2 linked regions of the Tribolium castaneum genome follow. The main gene of each other region encodes a partner of the protein of the gene in region 2 in a complex. Links are inferred from orthologs where the notes say so. Each region holds a gene or a part of one and is shown on either strand. Other genes may lie near its edges.

Region 1 (3,727 bases), about 23 Mb from region 2:
GAAATGGATTTATAAAATAATTTAAAATGTCCAGGGCGGCGTTACATAAGATTTGAGAGGACTTTTAAGAACAATCTAAAGAAATAATTCTAAAAAATAATTTAGAATAATTTTCAACAAAACTACAAAGGAATTTTAAGGCAAAGCAGAATAGAATCTAAAAGAGTAATTGGAGAACGTATAAAAAACAGGTTTACATAAAAAAGAATTTTGAATGGTAAAGAATCTAGAGAAGAACGAATCTAAAGATGGATTTATAGAATAATCTAAAGAAGAAACCATCAGATCTGCAAACGGGTTATTTAGAAAAGAATCAGAGAAAAGAACAGAAACAATGCTAAAGAATAATTTAAAAATTATAAAGGGAACTACAGAGGAATTTAATAGCGCATCCAAAGATGGATTTACTAAAATAATGTAAAGAGGAATCCAGATTTCAGATCTACAAACGGTTTCAAAAAAGAACTCGAGTAGGATCTCAAGAAAAATCTAGAGAAGAGTACAAAAACAATGCTAAAGAATAAAAATATATTGCGAGAGAAAAATTCTATACATAACTGTAGGACAATTTTGAAAAGATGCAGAGTGCAATCTAGGAGAGGTTTTGGATAAAAAAAATTAAAAGAGTTTATAAAATAATTTTGAGTAGTATAGAAAATAATTTCTAAAGAAGTATATGGAGATGGATTTATAAAATAATTTAAAAAGTTCCAATTTTAGGTTTAGAAACGATTTTTTAAAATATTTGAGACTTATTTTAAAAACAATCTAAAAAAGAGTAGACAAACAAATAATGCCAAAAAATAATTTAGAAAAATTCGAAACGAAAGTACAAAGGAATTTTCAAACAAAGCAGACCTAATAATTGTCTTAAAAAACGTGAAAAATTCGTGAATTTATACAATAATCGAAAGAAGAATCTATATTTCAGATCTAGAATTAGGCTTATTTAGGAAAAAAAGAAAAGAAAAGAATTAGAAAAGTATATGAAAAAAAAATCCAGAGAAGACTACAGAATTAATAAAAATTATTTGGAAAAATTGTAAAGGAAACTACAGAAGAATTTATAACCGAATCTAAAGATGTAACCTAAAGAAGATTATAACCTAATAAGATTATTTCAAGAGAAAAATTCTATACGAAACTGTAGAAGAATTTTGGAAAGATACAGAGTAGAATCTAGAAGAAAATTTGGATAAAAATATTTGAAAAAAAGTGTATAAAATAATTTTGATTAGAGTCTAGAAAATAATTCTAAAGACGTATCTACAGATACCTAGAGTCTCCTCTACAAAAAAATTTAGAAGAATATTATGAACAATGTAAAAAAAAGTACATAAATAAAATAATAATACAGACTAAAAAATAATTTGGAAGAATTTTAAACGACGCAGACAAGAATCTTAAATTTGGATAATGTCAAAAAAATGTAAAAGTGTTAATAAAACAATTTTGGATTTGAAAGAAGAATCTAGAGAAGATGGATTTATAAAATAATCTAAAGAAGAGTACAGAAAGCTAAAGAATAATCTGGAAGAAATTTAAACGAAACTAAAGGAAAATCTTGAAAAACTGCAAAGTAGAATCTACTACAGAGTGACTATTAAAGACTGTGACAAAAAAACCTATTAGTAACACTGAATTATTGGCCTTCATGGTGGCTTGTTATATTAAGATTTCAAATTTGTCACCAACCTGACAAGAATCGCAATTTTTGAATAATCACCTGGTAAAGAGAATTTGAATAATATTTGTGTATTTATTTTATTTACACTGTTTTTTGTCATTCGTAATTTGTGCAACATAAATATGGCATTTTTACTTTTTAATGTTATTTTTAATTAAGAGTAATTATTATTATTGGTGATTTTTACCAAAAAAATATGCAAGTGGTACAACTGCCAACACTTCAAATCACCTAGCAACCAAAACTGTCGCTAGGAGACCGTCAACTGTTTAAACCTTAACGATTATCAAAATTGTTAAAATGTTGGAAGACGAAGAAGAAGAAATTCATGGTTTTTGTCAAAAACTCGTCTTTTTCCAAAAAACCAACACGTTTTTTTAGTGCCTATTAATAATGACTTGGAGCGCAGAATTGCCGACGCGTTTGAAGTTTTCGACCACGCAGGTAACAAAACAGTCGATGTTCGAGAAGTGGCAACGATCGTACGTGCCTTGGGTTGTTGCCCCACTGAGGCAGAAATTCAGGAAATTTTGATGGCTGTTGAAAACCCCGAATCTCCCGGAAGTGTACACTTGTCTAATTTTTTACCCCACATGTCGCAAATCATCACTGAACACAAGTATCACCAAAATTTAATCGCCAAAAAACGAAATTTTCATTCGCAGGTATCAGCCTGCAAGTCCCGCGCAACTTTTAGAAGCGTTCCAAGTGCTAGATAATGAAGGTAAAGGTTTTTTAACAAAGGAACGCATTTCCACGCTTATGACGCAAGATGGTGAGCCCTTTACCCAAGACGAACTCGACGAAATGCTGGAAATAGCCATAGACCCACACACTCAAACTGTGCCTTATGAATATTACATCAATCAGCTAATGGTACCTAATTTTTATTTTTGCAAATATTGCACTACGTTATTTTTAATAGCACGAACCTGAAGGAGAGAAAGATATCTATAAGTTAGCTGATCGTGTTCTTGAGGAAAATCCACCTCCACCTCCTCCTCCTCCACCTCGAAGGCTGTCCGAGTTCCTGCATGATTTGTCCGTTCCTGAATTTTAAATTATAAAACACTCCAAACTTCCACCTTGTTTATTATTTAATCTTCTTGCTTAATTTACAATTTTGCGAAAACTGTATCTTTCTGTTTGGTAGCTTGGGCTACTGTTGCTGTTGTGAAGTCTTCACTTTGAAGCATTAGCTGATTCCATAAGGCCTGTAAGTAATGTGTTATTAATTTATTATTTTTTGCAGCTGGATTAAGAAACAAGCACTAATGGGGGCGCCATTGAAAAATAAGCTTAATTTATCTTCTTGTTATTTAATTAAGGCAAGTTTCCTTTTATTAGGTGGTTTCAGTGAACATTAATAAAGAATAAAGAAATATTTCTGTGTTGTTACTGATAAATAGTTACTCCTTCTGTTCGAAAATACGGTAGGTATAACTTTTAAAGGCCGGTAAGTAATTACCAGTGTGAGGAAATTTTAGGGGGTGGCCATGAGGCCACAACCGATCAGCCGACTCGTCGTAGCGCTCTCGCGATGTTCATATTTATCGATGAAATGGTCCGCTACAGCGTGTGCATTGGCGTAGTTTACTTGGGGTTTATACAATTAATGTTACCGGTCGCTTACAAAAATCTAATTAAAACATAAATATTATTGTTTTATTATAATTACGGAGTACCCAAGAAAAATTGTGGCAATAAAATAGTCGCTAATTTATTAAGACTGCGGTATATTTGTTGAGATTATTTTCTGAATCAATTTTAAAATAGTTGCTAATATCAGCTTCTGATTGGCTAGTTCAAACCCTGACAAGGCACCTAATTTGACATAATCGTTAAAAAATAACTTCATCATTTCTTTAATTTTACACGGACACCAATGAAGATGTTTAATACAGGGGAGCGTAAGTCACTATTACATTTTGAAAATGTTGCGTTTTAATTCAGTGGAAATTAAAATTAAAAACTAAATAAAAATATTTTAATCATTTTTTCTGAGAAATACGCTTGAATAACTGAGATTCTTTCTAAATT
Region 2 (4,987 bases):
ATAAATTTGTGTTGCAAAGAAAAAATTACTGTTACAAATTTTGTGTTAACGTGTATTTTTTTAACCGTACTGTACATTTTCTCAACTAAACTTATCACTTGAAAGCAATATTTATGCAAGGCGGTTTAGAACAGTATTATTAACTTTGAAGTAATCTTTAAAGTAAACTATTCAACACGCAAATTTAAAATCGATGAAGTCACTTAGCCTTGTATTGTGCTCTCAGTTTACTACCTATATTGGACTTGTAAGATCAAGCGAGTGGTGTCGTAATACTCATTAACAATTTTTCCTTCATTGCATATTAGTCTAAATTAAAAACTAAAAATGGCAATGGAGTTTTTTTCCTCCAAATATACAAAATTGTGAAAATCCACCTACAAACCGACTCATAACTGTAATACATGTAACACATGCCTCGCCCATACAGTTGCATGCTATTGCAACATTTTACGTACAAATTAACTTTACTATTAATTTTGTAGTACAATTTAATTTACCAAATGACTAGGTTCACATCCATTTTAATAATTAAATCTAATCACTTAAATAAATGTGGTGCACGCTGCAGTAATCACAATTAATTATAATAATTGTAAAGAAAAGTTTTGGAGAGGACGTTGTTTTTTGTTAGCCAAACATTTTAAAATTTTATCTGAAAAAAATATGTCTGGTTCATTACTTAAATATTTACCAATGTCTCACAACACATTGTTGAATGATTGTTTATGGACTTATTATTACTATGTTATTGGTCATTTTCGAAAATTCTTGTTGCTCTATTTTACACTTGAATTATTCATGTAAATAGGCGATAGAAAAGAATTTATATTGTTATTTTTATTCTAAGGTGATTAAGAACGCGCAAAAATAGTTCCAATTAATTAACTGATCTGAATTAGCATAAATACATATGTATATTTATTTTAAAGCAACGATGAAAAATATTTCAACTACGTTTTGCCCATAAAATTATCAAAGAATGTGGGTACTACAGCGGTATTATTCCTAACTGTTGTGACATACATAAGAGATTATTGTACCGATAACGCAAAGTATTTTTTTAATAATAGGTTTAAATAGACAAATTTCCATAGGACCCCGTGAAGAAAGCATAAAACGTCTCAGTTGATAGCCTATGTAGAGTAGTATAAGTCACACCTATTGGTAAATAATTATAAACAAATTTGGTACGAAATAAAAACCACGCTGTAGTTGTGACAAACAAAATGTAAATGCAAAAACCTACACCTACACAGACAGCGATGACGAAGTACCTTAGAATTATTACCAGAAACAGTAATTAAACAGTCTGATGAATAGATATAGGTGAATCAGCCAACAAAAGTGATAAACAATGTAATCTAAACAATAAAATACAGTGCCAGCACCGGTTTCTAGTTCTATTTACGTTTTATTAAATCGATTTTAACAACGGAAAAAAATTAAATGAAATCCGGCAATGCCAAGCGGGACTCACCAATTCGCGATCCTACGGGCGTCGAAAAGGGATTTCCTCCTAATGCAGTTCCAAAAAAAGACATTTTTTATTTCTAAATTAAATTTCACGATTGCACTTTCTTGTTGTCACTTGACTTCTGTCACTGTCACTTGTCAAAACAAGAAAACACTGCGGCGCTTGCGCAATACTTCCGCTCCTAAATCTAAAATTTTCCGACGAAAATAACAATTTTATTTCAAACAAATAAACTGCATGACGCGCTTGTTGGTGTGTTAGTCACTGTTTTTCTAATTTATTGATCTTTTCATTCCCAAGTTGTGTAAACTTCTGAATAAAAAGACGTCAGACATGTGTCACGTGATCAAAAATTATACGAGGTGCGGTTCACAATTTAAAGTTCTTTTTTTATGTTATTTTTCCGTTCTTTCACGTAATATACTACCAAAGCGAGCATTTCTGCATTTATAACTGTGCTGTTGTCATTTCTTCTTTGATACAGAATACAACGTAATTTTACAATTTTGAGTATTTTTTTATAAGTTGCGGTATCAGCACTCGGCTTCGCCTCGACTACAATTTCGCAAACTCTTAATTGTAAAGATTTTTTTACTCCAAAAACCCTCTCTGGGCTATTTTTATCTACTTAGACGTTATAATCTACCTGTAAAGAGTTTTTTGTAATTGATATAATTTCACAATGAAAAATAATAAAACTCAAGAGCACAAGCTCGGCAAACTCAAAGATTCATGATTTCTCAAGTCCATAGCAACAATAAGGTACTTAAACAACAGTCATTGTGACATCAATAATTTCAAGAATGCTTGAAAAGGTATTTGTATCGATTTAGTGTGCCTAATGAAAATTTGTAAAAATGAATCCTTGTAAATTGAAAGAGCCAAAAGTAATAGACAATGCCCTTCTGGAGAAATGTATCAAAGACCAGGGCCCCAAGGGTGAAGCGGGTCGCTTGGCGGAGATCGAAAAAATCCCCCTTGAAGACGTCACCGAGATTCGCTTAGAATTTCTGAGTAACAATTCTTGTAAAATTTAAACCCGACTTTCTGTGTCCCTATCCGTAGATATCTTAAGAATTGACCACTTGTGGGTGCTGACATCTTTAACGAAATTAAATCTCAACAATAATTTACTGGAAAAAATCGAAAATTTGGAAAGTCTGGTGAACTTAACTGAACTAAATTTATCATTCAATAAAATAGCTAAAATCGAAAATTTAGACGAGCTTCGCAACCTTGAAAAGCTGAGTCTGTATGATAACGAAATCACGGTTTTGGAGAACATGGACACTTTAACAAAATTAACAGTTTTTAGCATTGGAAGAAACAAAATTGACGACTTGGACAATGTATTACGAAAAATAATTGTGTTCTAGAATACACAAATATTTTATAGATTCTGTATTTGCGACGATTCGGCAATTTAAAATCGTTAAATCTAGTGGGGAATCCCTGTGCCGAGGATGAAGATTTTCGTTTATTTATTGCAGTTTTTCTGCCACAACTCGTTTACTACGAATATAAATTAATATACGAGTCGGAACGGGAACTTGGACACGAAACTTTCAGGTTTCTAGCTAAAATTGTTTAAGTGAACATCAGTAGGAGAGTTTTTTAGTGCAAAACTGCGAGCATTGTTGGAGAAAGAGGAGAAGGAACGGGAAATCACTGCGATAAAGGAACAAGAGTTGGCCGATGCCGAACTTCACGCCTCTAGTTTCGTGGAGTATTTAAACACTCGCCATTTGTTCGACTCTTTATTTGCCAACGACACCGACGGCATGAACTTGATGAAAATCGGCGAAGACGCGCAAGAATTCTACGACGAGTACGAGGAGAACTTCATCGAACTGTGTAAACAAATATTCGAAAATGGGCAACAACAGTACATCCTGCGCAAAACCGAACAGGACCAGTTCTTAAAATGCGTCGAAGACGCAAATAAGGACAATCAAGACGAAAGCATTGTACGCCCCCTTTCGAATTTACTTATAGCCCCAAATTTCGTCCGTAGAAACACATGGAGATCTTCCTGGAGAAGAAGGCAATACTGTTCCTCAAAATCAAAAACGTGCAAAACCAGCTGAACTCAAACGAAATAAATTACGACGAGTTTATCGACAAATGCGACGTCTTCGTGGTGGAGTACGACGAGATGTTGCACGAAGTTTGGAAAGCGCTAATGAAACTGGAACTGGAACTTTACGAACAAATGGAAGAAGTCAACCAAACTTTCGAACACAACATCACAGAACTCGTTAATAATTTCATTGAATCGTCGCAGGCTTTCTTTACGCAGATCAGAGAGCTGGAAGTGAGCTACGCTGAAAATATCGGCGATTTGGCCACAAAGTTTCAAACAAATGCCAATTTGAATGAGGAAATCGAAGTTCCCGCAGTTCTTAAACCGGTAACTTCCGGCACTTGCTTTATTAATAATTTCAATGAGATTACAGCTTATGGCAGATAAGGATCTTCTGCACAACGCGTTGGCAACAAGTCACGATATGCACATGCAGATTATCGATGCGAGAGAAGACACTCTCATTTCGAACGCCAAGGATTGGCTAAATGATTTAATCGACGATTTAAACACGTAAGTTATGCCTTTACTTTTCCCGAAAAATATCCACAACTTGTAGGAATGAGATCAAGCGAAACAGGGGGAAAGTGCTGGAAATTAACCACTTTCTTGAAATCCAAAGGCAGGAGTTTGAGGATTTGAATAAGGAATACGCGCCTGATCTCAAGGATGACGTTATAGCCTTGGAATAAGTAAGATAGTAAAATATACTTTATTTTTACAAAAGTACTTACACATATTCTTGGTTTGGATAATAAATTTTACACTTCATTATATAAAAGAATATCAACTTATAATATCCTTATTTCTGTTTCTGCTTCAATGATTGCAGATACATTTCCAACCCCTTTTGCACACTGTCCTGAGCTACGTAATTCGCCACATATTCGTAATCTTTTTGGAGATTGTTAGTGAGGTCCTGAAATAAAAACTCATTTTTACAAAATATATAATTGAGCCTTAAATACAAAAATGCCAAAAAAGTCTATAAAAAAATCATAATACTAATTGCATCACATAATATGTTGAGATAAAAATATGTTTCCTTGGTGAGTTTCCTTAATAAAACATTTCGTTATATTTCCTTGCATTTTTAATAATGATTTTACCTACCTAGTTTTTGAAACTTAAAAAAAATACGGATAAATGCCAACTGATTAATTTCTGCAGAAAGATAGTACCCTCAACTTCTAGTATAAACTTAATTCGAAAGTATTACCAACAATTTCAGTACTAAAAGATCTTGGGGTTTTTTGGATAACAAATTATTTTTGAGATAATTTCTATATACTTGAAAATAATTTAAGCTCATAGGTCAGTATCGAAGCCTTTTTAACACAACTTTTTTTTAATATTGTAACATTTGGAAGGTTAGCAGTCTCTTCCAACTCGCTGGGACACGTTGCATAATTTTATAAAACTGTTAT

Evidence for each region. The genes of interacting proteins can lie anywhere in the genome.
Region 1: dynein regulatory complex subunit 3 (region 2) and dynein regulatory complex protein 8 share a complex: the UniProt entries of both Homo sapiens proteins name them as parts of the nexin-dynein regulatory complex. The link is inferred for Tribolium castaneum from reciprocal best matches to the Homo sapiens genes DRC3 and DRC8.

Annotation. Positions count from the first base shown.
Region 1 is NC_087394.1:7,332,580-7,336,306, forward strand, and holds dynein regulatory complex protein 8, read left to right. Parts: upstream 1-1,852; 5' UTR 1,853-1,987; coding exon 1,988-2,018; intron 2,019-2,068; coding exon 2,069-2,306; intron 2,307-2,352; coding exon 2,353-2,563; intron 2,564-2,612; coding exon 2,613-2,747; 3' UTR 2,748-2,769; downstream 2,770-3,727. Other genes in the region: delta(3,5)-Delta(2,4)-dienoyl-CoA isomerase, mitochondrial, read right to left, coding at 2,803-2,901. UniProt on the Homo sapiens protein: Component of the nexin-dynein regulatory complex (N-DRC), a key regulator of ciliary/flagellar motility which maintains the alignment and integrity of the distal axoneme and regulates microtubule sliding in motile axonemes.
Region 2 is NC_087394.1:30,246,016-30,251,002, forward strand, and holds dynein regulatory complex subunit 3, read left to right. Parts: upstream 1-1,959; 5' UTR 1,960-2,334; coding exon 2,335-2,491; intron 2,492-2,542; coding exon 2,543-2,826; intron 2,827-2,873; coding exon 2,874-3,046; intron 3,047-3,095; coding exon 3,096-3,444; intron 3,445-3,491; coding exon 3,492-3,887; exon of another isoform or gene 3,888-3,933; coding exon 3,934-4,073; exon of another isoform or gene 4,074-4,119; coding exon 4,120-4,252; 3' UTR 4,253-4,344; downstream 4,345-4,987. Other genes in the region: TOM1-like protein 2, read right to left, coding at 1,481-1,544; enoyl-CoA delta isomerase 1, mitochondrial, read right to left, coding at 4,363-4,479. UniProt on the Homo sapiens protein: Component of the nexin-dynein regulatory complex (N-DRC) a key regulator of ciliary/flagellar motility which maintains the alignment and integrity of the distal axoneme and regulates microtubule sliding in motile axonemes.